Linked DNA regions of Xenopus tropicalis. The protein of the gene in region 1 purifies or fractionates together with the protein of each later gene. This does not show direct contact. Links are inferred from orthologs where the notes say so. Each region holds a gene or a part of one and is shown in the gene's direction. Other genes may lie near its edges.

Region 1 (4,243 bases):
TCCCGGGTAGTTCAATAAATGTCCCGCATTTCCATAATAGATTACGGAAATGTGGGACATTCATTGAACTATCCGGGACAGCGGGATGCGCTGCAGAAAGCGGGACAGTTGGGGGGTATGCTTTAGTGCAGGGGTCGGGAACCTTTTTGGCTGAGAGAGCCATAAACACCACATATTTTAAAATGTAATTCCGTGAGAGCCATACAATATGTTTGGCCACGGATGCTGTGGGGCAAGGTAGGGTGGGTCCCAAGGATGCCGGATGCTGGATGCGATGCAGAGGAGGGCGTGGCCTGCGCTTGGCGGATAGAAGACGTGTTCTAAGGCTTAGAACACGTCTTCTATCCGCCATACGCAGGCCACGCCTCCTGTTATTTTTTTTATTTAAGATTTGGCAGAGAGCCAGATGCAGCCATCAAAAGAGCCACATCTGGCTCCCGAGCCATAGGTTCCCTACCCCTGCTTTAGTGTTTATTAGTGATGAGCGAATTTTTTTCCATCAAAATTAGTGCGTTACCAGCGGTTTCTCCGTTTTGCAAATTTTTCTGTAGTTTTGCAAAATTTTCACAGAAGCCAATTACTCATTACTAGTGTTTATAATTTCTCCCTCCACCTTCAACCATGTGAATCTTCCTTCACATTTCAGATCTCTTTCCTGCAGCCTCAGTTTCCCCTTGAATGTGGAGGGAAGAGGCATCACAGGAGCAGAGCTCAAGCGATTTACAAGTGAAAGGAGCAGTGCGATTAGAGAGAGTGACGCCTGAAAGATCTGAGTGTAGGGAACAACTGGACCAATCAGGTCAATTCGGGAAATGTAACCTGTATTGTGGGACAGCGGGAGGTTCTATATAAATCGAGACAGTTGGGAGGCATGTTTTATTGTGCCTGGTTGTACCCACCCGCATTCAGTAGCACAGCTATTATTATTATCGTGCTCGATTTTTATGCATTTAAAAAACAATAAAACAAAAGCGCACGTTGAACTCACTAAGAGATGATATTGCGTCATGATGTTAAAGCCATTATACGCCTTCCAAATGTCTACAATTTAAACCATGTAAAACAAATCAGCACTTTCCCCGCAGAACCTTAAAGTCGCATTTTGCCCAAACAGAGCTGCAGGAGTCGCAGTTCAAGCAAAGAAGGCCTGTCAAGCAGAACGCACTGCGGGCGAACACATAAACCTTTGCTGTAATGTACATGTACCTTGGCCACAAAGCAAACACATTTATCTACAGAGTACTTCCTCACCTGTATCATGTGTACGTAAACAAAGGAACATAACATTTCCCTAAACATTATTTTTGTAGCGAACTTAAATCACCTTTCACGCGCAATGCCCACATCAAATATGGCAGTAAGTGGCCCTGCGCTTTGCGGCTAATGCGTATCCGTGTGACGTACAGAGGAACACAACTCACTGAGCATGCGCTGGCGGCCATGATTGGGGAGCTTTGCGTGCTGTGACTGCGCTATTTTGCCGGCTCGGTGAACCCTATTCCTCCGTTTTTTGTCTTTAAAACTGACAAGATAATCGGTGAGTGCACGTTATAGAGGCCTCTTTCACTCCAGTTGTTTTGGGACCCTCCGGAACTTTGTGTCGCTGATGTAGACATGAAATGAGCGATGACAGGGCACATTGCCTATGTTCCTTTACTGCGTTTACTTTCAGTTTCTTCTTCATTAGTCCTTACTTCCAAATAGGACTGGGGGACGCTGCATGAATATTGCCGAAAAGGTGCATTTTAGTTAACAAAAAGTATGGGAATGAAAGATTATTTAGAGGTAGCTGTGATTGTGTGTTTGCTGGGAAACCGTAAAAGTAGGGGTCCCCAACCAATCTTAGGGTAAAAACACATGGAGCTACTAGTAGCAGCTACTTTTTTTCACAGGTATTAAACTCCAGAAAATATCCAGCCATAGACAATACTGAGAATTGCCTCTCCTAAAACACATGTAGAGACAATTATCAGTAAATGATCAGCATTGTCTATTTTAGTAGCCATGACAAGTAGCTGCTACTAGTAGCTCTGTGTATCTTTACCCTTACTCGTGAGCCGCAGTCAAATATAAAAAGACTTGGAGAGCAACACAAGAATTATAAAAGTTCATGGAGGAGCCAAATAAGGGCTAAGATTGGCTATTAGGCAGCCTCTATGCACACCAATGGCTTACAGGGGGCTTTATTTGGTAGGAAATCTTGTTTTTATTCAACCAAAACTTGCCCCCAAGTCAGGAATTCAAAAATAACTACCTGGGGGCACTGAGAGCAACATCCAAGGGGTTGGTGAGCAACGTGTTGCCCCTGATTGAGGTTCACTGCATAAAAGGTACAGATCCTGTTACTATTTGTTATCTAAATTGGTACTGAAATACTGGAAATGAATACACATAAATAAATGAGTATGGTTCTTGCAAGATTTCTAATTAGATTTCAGATGCATATATGAATCCTCTTCAGCACAGACATCTGCTTATCTGTAAAGGAAAATAAGGGCTCTGGCACACGAGGAGATTTGTCGCCAGCGATTATTAAAAGAGCGATTTGGCGACAAGTCGCCAATGCTAAATCAATGGAAATCGCCAGCGTCAAAACATACGAGGCTACTTCAAATCGCCTGCTGTTTCAAATCGCACACAGACCCTTTTCTGAGCAACCTAAGTATACATGAGGGAGGGGTAACTGTTGAGTGTACCATGGGTAGCAGATCGCCTGGAGCTCAACTCGCATGAAATCTCTTCGTGGGTATTGTCGTGGATGACTTGTCGCCAAAGCGCCAGGGGGAAAAAATGCAGGCGACAAATCTCCTCGTGTGCCAGAGCCCTAAAGGGGTTGATCACTGCAGGGTGCCAATTTTTATGCCCCCACCCCCTCCAGTGATTGCTTACTTCTGACTTTGGGGCTGCACTCCTCTTTCCTTAAAAACGCACTAGGCTGGACTATTCTGTTCTATTGGTTTGTTATGCTCAACACATTTACATTATAAAACCTGTCCAAATCCTGACTCTCCAAAGCAAACTTGCTCATTTGAATGAGGAAGGTACTTGCAAACAAGATGAGTGGGCAGTTCAAAAAAATTCCAGTGTTAGGCAAAATAAGTAAAAAATAAGTAAATCTGCATGTAATTTAAATTCTTATCCTAATGTAGTATAGTTTACTATAGTTTTTGCTCTACAAAACATTTCCATTAATGATATGCCACTTAGGGGCCCATTTACCAATGTACGATTGGTTATGAATAGGAAAAATTTGTATTTTTTCTAACTTTTAGAACTGTGTGTATTTTCCGCGACTTTTTCGTATTTTTCGATAATATGTTTGACAAAATCGTATTGTTGCACCGAGTACGAAAGTTTCGGATTTATTCACGTTTCCGTATCGTGACTTTCCTTGGGCCAGGTTGGAGCTGCAGAGTGCCATTGAGTCCTATGGGAGGCTTCCAAAATCATGCACTGAAGGTTCAGAAGTCAGAAAGGTTTTCGCGCCATTTACTATCGTTCGGATATGAAAATTTCGTGACTATCAGATAGTACCGCAATATTTTCGTACAAACACAACACGACTTTTGGCAAAGTTAATGCAGAAATTTTTTTATTTAATGCGAATTTTCGCAAATCGTACTCTTAATTCGGACTTGAATCGGCCCCCTTTGTGTCTGTTGACCTTTAATAATGCCATCAGCATATTTACACGTAAAGTTTACATGGGATTATATTTCTGTACATACATAAGAGTACCATATGTAATGTACTTGGATACCTTATCCAATAATCCGCTATCCAGAAAAGCTCCAAATTACAAAATGGACATCTGTCATAGACTCCATTTTAATCAAATAATTCTTTTAAAAATGATTTTCTTAGTAAAAATATATCTGTGCATTGTTCTTGATCCCAACTAAGATATTATTAATCCGTATTTGAGCCAAAAATGTCCTGCTGTGTTTATTCAATATTTAAATGATTTTTTTAGTAGTCCTGGGCATTCTTGATAACAGGTGCCAAAGCTGTATGTACTTATGACTTCCTTACTATTATATAATAATTATTATTATTATTTTCCTAGTAATCTGGTGTCATTTTGTATGTCTTGCAGAGTATCAAACAAGTGAATATCATACAACATGGTAAGTCTTTTTTTTTTTTTTCCTGTTTTATACAATGTGTATACTTGTATAAATGCAGTTAATCTGAATGGGATTAATTCATGGTTTGTACTCTCTGTGTAACATGCAAAAGTCCT
Region 2 (4,299 bases), on another chromosome or scaffold:
ATTCGAATGTTCATCATACGATGGCTAAAATCTGAACATGTATGGCCAGCTTAACATTATCTTGCATTATGTGCAACTAGACCTGCAGTACCACATTGAACCTGCTGCCAGCAGCACATCCCTTCCCATGGAGAGCAAGAGAACTGTCAGAACATCTGGGGACCCTCACAACTTTCCTTTTGATATAGACACGCTTACAGCACCAATGATTTGTAGAAGGCTGAGATAAAATCTTGGAAGGGGGGCCTAGCAAGGCCTTAATTAGTGACCAATTTCAAAATATCTTGATAGCATAGCTCAACAATTTTACCAACATTTTTGGGCCTTAAAGGACAAGGAAAGGCTAAAGCTGGCCATACACGTGGCGATCTGACGATGTTTCATGCGACCATCGGCCGCACGAAACATCGTCAGATCCGCCACACACAGTCAGGGCTGAAACAGCAGATAAGGAGGTAGAAACAATAGGATTTCTACCTCCTTCTGCCGATTCAGCCCTGACGGCAGATTTTGGTCAGGCACCTTGAATTTGCTGTAGGGCCCAGCAAATTAGTCGCCACTGCAGGCAACTAATCTCCTAGTGTGCCATCACCATTAGAATTTACCTTCAAGGCCAATGGCACATGGTGAGACTCCCAGCAGGGCTGGAACTAGGGATAGGCACGTAACTAGGGTGCAACAGTGGGGGGCACTAGTCATGTACCTCTTTATTTGCCTATGCCCAGTCCAGGCCCTACCCCCCCCGCGTGCATGCCCATTATCTCCTTCCCCCCGGCTTCAGTGCAGCCTTAAGCGCATTTGCTCGTGCATATATGCACACATGGTGCTGTTCCAGGGATTTAGCCAGCAGCCCCCCTGACTTCTATCTGTGCTGATGGAACAGCAAATAACTGGGAATAGTCTTGCCTTTGATGGTAAACATTTGTACTCAGCTGTTTCCCTCACATATCTAGCATTTCTAAGGGATTCCCATTAAATCCTATGGAAGGAAACATAGACATAACCAGTCATACATGCACACACTCCCAGAGTGAGAGAGTGAGGCACTGGCCAATAATCTATTTTATATACACGTATTATTCCTGAAATTATGAGTGGCCCTAAACTTATTTTGCTGAGGGGCCCATTTACTTGCAATTAAGTCATATACACCAATTATAATTTCTTCCAAGGGCACAATAGATGCATGCCAATATCTGAGTAAGGAAGATGCTACTGAAGTTACAGGTGCTGGGCCCTATGTGGAGGGCTTACATACACAACACATGCAGCCTGGGAGATGCGCAGAGTTGTAGCTGGGAGGGAGCTGCAGGCTGGACCTCACTTATAAGGAATATAAAAACTAAGTAAAGAGCCATAATCTCCATTCCCCAACACACCGCATTCCTCACAGGAATCCCTAATCTCAGCACTGGGAACGAAACAAAGTCCGCCAACGCCAGCCTGTCCCGCTCGCTAACTAGAGCCCGCCCATTAGTGACACAGGCTCTTAGAGAGGGGCGGAAGTGACGCGCTGAGGCAGTCACGGTGACGCGTTCGCCCTGTCTTTGGTTGCTTCGTCACCGGCAGCCTGAGAGAGAGAGTTGGGGAGAGAACCGGAGAGTAAACGGACAAGGAGATGGGAGCGGCAGAGGACAGGGCCGAGGAGCTGGGATTTACCCCCCAAAAGGAAATCGTGTACAACTTACTACTTCCCTACGCAAATCGGCTGGACCGGGAATCCAATGAGCTCCTGGCGCAAATCAAGGGCAGTTTGGGCCGGGCAGTGCAGCTTCGGGAACTCTGGCCGGGAGTGCTTTTCTGGACTCGGAAACTCACTACGTGAGTCTCACTGCTGGTATTATACTCACTGAGTGAGTGTCTGTGAGTGAGCGCTTGTGTCACTCAGTGAGTGAGTGTCTGTGAGCTGTGAGTGAGCGCTTGTGTCACTCAGTGAGTGAGTGTCTGTGAGCTGTGAGTGAGCGCTTGTGTCACTCAGTGAGTGAGTGTCTGTGAGCTGTGAGTGAGCCCTTGTGTCACTCAGTGAGTGAGTGTCTGTGAGCTGTGAGTGAGCGCTTGTGTCACTCAGTGAGTGAGTGTCTGTGAGCTGTGAGTGAGCGCTTGTGTCACTCAGTGAGTGAGTGTCTGTGAGCTGTGAGTGAGCGCTTGTGTCACTCAGTGAGTGAGTGTCTGTGCTGGGGCTGTGAGTGTGCGCTTGTGTCACTCAGTGAGTGAGTGTCTGTGCTGGAGCTGTGAGTGTGCGCTTGTGTCACTCAGTGAGTGAGTGTCTGTGCTGGAGCTGTGAGTGAGCCCTTGTGTCACTCAGTGAGTGAGTGTCTGTGAGCTGTGAGTGAGCGCTTGTGTCACTCAGTGAGTGAGTGTCTGTGCTGGGGCTGTGAGTGAGCGCTTGTGTCACTCAGTGAGTGAGTGTCTGTGCTGGAGCTGTGAGTGAGCGCTTGTGTCACTCAGTGAGTGAGTGTCTGTGCTGGAGCTGTCAGTGAGTGCTTGTGTCACTCAGTGAGTGAGTGTCTGTGCTGGAGTTGTGAGTGAGCGCTTGTGTCACTCAGTGAGTGAGTGTCTGTGAGCTGTGAGTGAGCGCTTGTATCACTCAGTGAGTGAGTGTCTGTGAGCTGTGAGTGAGCGCTTGTATCACTCAGTGAGTGAGTGTCTGTGAGCTGTGAGTGAGCGCTTGTGTCACTCAGTGAGTGAGTGTCTGTGCTGGAGCTGTGAGTGAGCGCTTGTGTCACTCAGTGAGTGAGTGTCTGTGAGCTGTGAGTGAGCGCTTGTGTCACTCAGTGAGTGAGTGTCTGTGAGCTGTGAGTGAGCGCTTGTGTAACTCAGTGAGTGAGTGTCTGTGCTGGGGCTGTGAGTGAGCGCTTGTGTCACTCAGTGAGTGAGTGTCTGTGCTGGGGCTGTGAGTGAGCGCTTGTGTCACTCTGTGAGTGAGTGTCTGTGCTGGAGCTGTGAGTGAGTGTCTGTGCTGGAGCTGTGAGTGAGCGCTTGTGTCACTCAGTGAGTGAGTGTCTGTGCTGGAGCTGTAAGTGAGTGCTTGTGTCACTCAGTGAGTGAGTGTCTGTGCTGGAGCTGTGAGTGAGCGCTTGTGTCACTCAGTGAGTGAGTGTCTGTGCTGGGGCTGTGAGTGTGCGCTTGTGTCACTCAGTGAGTGAGTGTCTGTGCTGGAGCTGTGAGTGAGCCCTTGTGTCACTCAGTGAGTGAGTGTCTGTGCTGGAGCTGTGAGTGAGCCCTTGTGTCACTCAGTGAGTGAGTGTCTGTGAGCTGTGAGTGAGCGCTTGTGTCACTCAGTGAGTGAGTGTCTGTGAGCTGTGAGTGAGCGCTTGTGTCACTCAGTGAGTGAGTGTCTGTGAGCTGCGAGTGAGCGCTTGTGTCACTCAGTGAGTGAGTGTCTGTGCTGGAGCTGTGAGTGAGCGCTTGTGTCACTCAGTGAGTGAGTGTCTGTGCTGGAGCTGTGAGTGAGCGCTTGTGTCACTCAGTGAGTGAGTGTCTGTGCTGGAGCTGTGAGTGAGCGCTTGTGTCACTCAGTGATTGAGTGTCTGTGCTGGGGCTGTGAGTGAGCGCTTGTGTCACTCAGTGAGTGAGTGTGTGGCTGGGGCTGTGAGTGAGCGCTTGTGTCACTCAGTGAGTGAGTGTCTGTGCTGGAGCTGTGAGTGAGCGCTTGTGTCACTCAGTGAGTGAGTGTGTGGCTGGGGCTGTGAGTGAGCGCTTGTGTCACTCTGAGTGAGTGTGTGGCTGGGGCTGTGAGTGAGCACTTGTGTCACTCAGTGAGTGAGTGTGTGGCTGGGGCTGTGAGTGAGCGCTTGTGTCACTCAGTGAGTGAGTGTGTGGCTGGGGCTGTGAGTGAGCACTTGTGTCACTCAGTGAGTGAGTGTGTGGCTGAGGCTGTGCTCTTTCACTGGGGCTCACTCGTAATGAAGGTGTGCTGGGGTCACTTTTGAGTGGGTGAGTGCTGGCGCTTGTGGCCCTGGGAGAGTGAGCGGGCGCTTGTGGCCCTGGGAGAGTGAGCGGGCGCTTGTGCCCCTGGGAGAGTGAGCGGGCGCTTGTGCCCCTGGGAGAGTGAGCGGGCGCTTGTGCCCCTGGGAGAGTGAGCGGGCGCTTGTGCCCCTGGGAGTGTGAGCGGGCGCTTGTGCCCCTGGGAGTGTGAGCGGGCGCTTGTGCCCCTGGGAGTGTGAGCGGGCGCTTGTGCCCCTGGGAGTGTGAGCGGGCGCTTGTGCCGCTGTGAGAGTGAGCGGGCGCTTGTGCCCCTGGGAGAGATGTAAGTGCACCATGATGTAGTGAGTGTGAGTTTATGCGCGTTGCAATAGT
Region 3 (4,443 bases), on another chromosome or scaffold:
TTTTGAACTTTTAGCCCTCTTTCCCTGTGCAACTGTCCCCTTTGCAACCTCTTTCTCTAAGTGCTACAATGTTTAGTGCTGTCTTAATGTGCCACTTACTCTTTATGTCCTGCCAGGTGGGATTTCTACCAGCTTTGTCAGACTGCAAGGCCCGCTAGTGATAGGACCCTTCTCATGCAGTCAAGCTGTTATGACCTCTAACCCTTCCTTCACTTACTGTGTCATTTCCCTCTTAAGGGCAAGGGTACACTAAGCGGATTGTCCACTTTCCTACACATGCATTATCTGCAGGCAGAGGAAAGTGGATCCACTGTTAAGTGCATACCCCCGTAGCTCCATTGACAGGCCCAGATAGAGTGTAGCCAAAATCATGCAGTATTCCATGTTTCATAGGGAATCATTTATGCATCGTTCGTGCTTAAAAGAGAAGGAAAGGCTACATCACACAGACAGCATAGGGCAGGTATGGTATGGCACATAGGCAGCATAGGGTTGGGAGGGTATGGAACACACCGGCAGCTAAGGGCAGGCCGAGTATGGCACACACAGGCAGCATAGGGCAGGCTGAGTATGGCCCACAGAGGCAGCATAGGGCAGGCAGAGTATGGCACACACAGGCAGCATAAGGGAGGCAGAGTGCTGCATGTGTGTGCCATACTCTGCCTGCCCTATGCTGCCTGTGAGAGGTGAACCTGGGAGGGATTTGTTCTGGGAGTTTGTTAGTAGTTGGAAACAGCCATTAAATGGTCCCTAAGGTGTGTAATTATGTTGCTGGGGGTTGCTGTGATATCCACAGGGGAGGAGGAGGCATATGGATTTCTGAGTGTGTCTTAATATGACATAATATAATTCTTTCATATATGAATAACTGTTGATATCCCCACAGTGAGGACCAAGCATTTTGGTTTTTGCTGCACTACCACCATTGTGATAAAATGGGTGTGGTTTGAAGTGGTAAATTTAATATATTTTTAGTGGTTTTTTATACTTAAACAACTTTTACTATTTTGTGAAGGCCTCTTTGAGCCCATATATTCACATTGTATTGTAAACTTGAATCTGTCAAAAAAAATATTGAGAAAAAAAACTGTCCAACTGACAGCTCAGTTGGGGTTATGTATGGGGGTATCATCTAACCTGGAACTGCATAGCAACCATTTCTGCATTATGTTCTGATTAGGTGGATCAATGTAATTCAGCTGTCCCCATGTATGGCCAAATTGTACTAATATCCAACATGATCATACATTATATTACCAATAACCTTGGGTGCACTGCACCCAGCTCCTATTTTACTCCATAGTAGACCATGTTTAGGCAGCAAAAAAAAATAACAGAAATAATAATCAAGGTAGTTAAACACTTTACAAAGTAATTAGAGTTATAATATATTCTTTCACTTTAGATTGCTGAGGCCATAGGTTTAAAATAAACAAGCTATTAAGTCATATCAACATCACGTTATTCACAAAATAAAATTATATCGCAATGCATCTGCCAATGTGCAGTTTATAAGCTGATGGAAATTCCCTTTTATTGCCACTAACCCCTCCCCTCTCTACTGTATAAAGCAGCAGCTAAAGTAAAACTGAAAGTAACAGAGTGATAGAGGCCCAACACAGACACAGCAAAACAGTAAGGGAAGCTGAGGCCGAGGAAGGTGAAAGACCCTCTTTAACTACAGTTATGGCTAAAGTGATTCGTCTGAAAATTTCCCAGGACAACCAGGAGAAGGTAAGTGTGTATGTCATGGTTTATATTATTAGATCTGTAAAGCTAGTACAGCAGGCCTTTTTAAGGGTACCCTGTCGATATATAAAAGCTTTTAACCTATTACTGCAAATGTGGCATATACAAAAAAACAATACGAAGGTAGTAAGAAGGAAGAAGGTTCTAAAGTTGGGTTGTGATGTCACAACTATGTGTGGGAATTTCACAGTACTGGAATTGGACTCTGAGGTTCACTTGCACTAATGTATAAATGTGTGTATATACAAAGTCACTAAAATTTTAAAAGGAGCATTTGCTTTTTTGCTTCTCATTATTTTTTAATAGAAAATTTCCTGTAACTAGGAACACTTTAGAAAAGAAGCTGCAGCACTGAGGTGCAAAACTGAAAGTGAACAAAAAAGTGGCCAATAAAAGACCTTCTATTTCTGCATAATATATATAGATATATAAAATAACATTTTTAAATATGATTTGCATTGAAAGTTGCTCTTCCTTAAAGCTGAGTGCCAAGGATCAAAAAATATAATACATACAACAAAGGTGGCCCGTACTCCAATATACATGCATCTTAAAGGAGCCGAAACATTGGTAAAAATTATGGAATATAATAAGGCGCAATGTATGGAACACGCAAACCTTTGGTTGCTAGGGTTTGCAGCCTCTGTACATTTTCTTACAATACAATTTCATTTTTAAAATGAACTACCTATTTAATATTAATGCCAAATACAATTTTATTTTTAAAAGAACCCTTGAGCCACAGTACTTGGCTGGATACAGGTGATACTTTTGTTTCCACAAATTGAAGTGTGGGCTCCATCAGCCCGCAGCTGTAGTGTAGTAGGAAACATTCTATCTTATGAGATAGTTGCCCTTAATACCAAAAATTCTCTTTACACATTGTATTACAAAAATACATTTTGTTCCACAAAGACAGCTTATTTGATTGCTGTAAAACTTGTGTTAGTAAATTACACATGCAGATAAATTGTCTTAACATTTACTCATTAAATATTTTGCTGAACCCAGAGCTAGGTAGCCTCTTGATGGCAGACCCCGGGATGCACAAAAGCCCAGAAATTAGCCAGCTTTCCTTGTTGTCGTTTCTATAAATATCTTGTAGTTGGAAACAAGCCTTGTCCTTGCTTGCACAGATTCAAAATTACTGTTGCAAAAGAATCATGTTACAACTGAACAAATAGACACATATATAGATATCTGATAGGACCTCCCACTAGTTACGTAAATAAGTTGTAATATAAAAAAAAGGTTTCTGAATATGGACCATTAGATATCATTGACCACACAAATATCGAGCAAATATGAAGATATAAAAGCATGTAATTGATTAAAAAATTTATTTTGCCTGATTTTTCTTCTGTTTCAGAGATCACATTTTTCTTTATCAGTTGCATTTTGTAAAACAATATATGAATTTAGTCAAAATGAGTCTGCTATTTGAGTAATGTGAAATAAACAATCAATCCAAGATGGTGGAAAAACTTGCAGAGTCATCAGCACAAATGAGTAAAAAGAGAAAACCTTTTCACACGATTAAGCAGAGAAAAAATATCTGCATCTCTGTAACTAGAGGTCCCTCTGCTGTCTATTTTGTAAAAATACACTTATTCATGTAGTAGGTGTGCTTATAGTTCTATACATACAGAAAATGTAAGGTTAGGTGATAGGTGCCTAACTCCTCAGTTTAAGGGTTAAGAACTGCTACAGTTCAATTACTTGTATGTGTGGAGAGTTACTAATGTTTACACACCTCTTCCCAATCTACTTCCAATCCAGAGCACTGATTTAAGCATAAGAGTGCCAATGTAACCCTTATTCTAAAACTGTAATTTAATGGTTTTGGCTACAAGTTGGCTACTGTGTTACAGAAGACTACACTATACAATAGTCAATATTTCACCCAAATCTGCCACAGTGCAAGGACCATGTGCATTTCAGAGTATTATTAAATTATGTAATAAAGTCTTTTGGGGAAGCACCATTCCTCTAGATCCTGTATACTTCACAAATCACTTCACCATCCCAAAACCTAGGCATGCCTACTTAACATATGGTGTTTGGCACAAATGTTTGTGACCATCACTGTACCAACTAATATTAAAAGCAGCAAAGAAAAAGTTGCAGTATATATTAGTCTGGGCTATGGCTCTCAGGATACACTCCCTAGATCTGAGGACATTTTTGTATGTTTACAAAAAATGTTCAAAAATCCATTCTCTTTCTTCTTACAGGTTAATGGGTTCCGTGAAGCGCTATTCAGTCAGGTAATTTTTTTTTTTTATTCTTCTTTAATATCTTGTCACTGTCAAGATAAAGTCACATCTTTCATTTAAAAGCATGTACAGAACAATATAAAAATGCTTTGTAAACTTACATAGGATTCTTGTGTGATGAATGCAGCATTGCTGCAATAGTGATCTTCTTAAAAAAAATTAGTGCACCAATATCAGCGACTTTGATCTGGTAAACCAGACAATCCCTACCTAAGTACATTCCTGCATTACAATAGAACGATATGCCAGATGGGTGAAAAAATAAATACATACATACATCATTCAACATTATTTTTTCACATTTACAATATTTCACCAATATATTAGGCAGCCCCAAGTAAATATAGTTATTTTTAGAAAAACAATGAATTGGCATGGAAAAACCAACAGAACACCTGTAGTGCTCAACCCTCACATA

The links. Proteins that work in one complex are often made in the same cells at the same time.
Region 2: the proteins of psma4 (region 1) and psme4 purify together in Homo sapiens (affinity purification with mass spectrometry; 4 studies listed by BioGRID and IntAct, with this or other methods). This does not show direct contact. The link is inferred for Xenopus tropicalis from reciprocal best matches to the Homo sapiens genes PSMA4 and PSME4.
Region 3: the proteins of psma4 (region 1) and psme2 purify together in Homo sapiens (affinity purification with western blotting; 3 studies listed by BioGRID, with this or other methods). This does not show direct contact. The link is inferred for Xenopus tropicalis from reciprocal best matches to the Homo sapiens genes PSMA4 and PSME2.

What each region holds. Positions count from the first base shown.
Region 1 is NC_030680.2:86,380,486-86,384,728, forward strand, and holds the start of psma4 (proteasome subunit alpha type-4), read left to right. Parts: upstream 1-1,436; 5' UTR 1,437-1,537; intron 1,538-1,609; exon of another isoform or gene 1,610-1,738; intron 1,739-4,096; 5' UTR 4,097-4,124; coding exon 4,125-4,127; intron 4,128-4,243. UniProt on the Homo sapiens protein: Component of the 20S core proteasome complex involved in the proteolytic degradation of most intracellular proteins. This complex plays numerous essential roles within the cell by associating with different regulatory particles.
Region 2 is NC_030681.2:23,696,065-23,700,363, reverse strand, and holds the start of psme4 (proteasome activator complex subunit 4), read left to right. Parts: upstream 1-1,464; 5' UTR 1,465-1,618; coding exon 1,619-1,821; intron 1,822-4,299. UniProt on the Homo sapiens protein: Associated component of the proteasome that specifically recognizes acetylated histones and promotes ATP- and ubiquitin-independent degradation of core histones during spermatogenesis and DNA damage response.
Region 3 is NC_030677.2:139,414,493-139,418,935, forward strand, and holds the start of psme2 (proteasome activator complex subunit 2), read left to right. Parts: upstream 1-1,608; 5' UTR 1,609-1,686; coding exon 1,687-1,734; intron 1,735-3,983; coding exon 3,984-4,016; intron 4,017-4,443. UniProt on the Homo sapiens protein: Implicated in immunoproteasome assembly and required for efficient antigen processing. The PA28 activator complex enhances the generation of class I binding peptides by altering the cleavage pattern of the proteasome.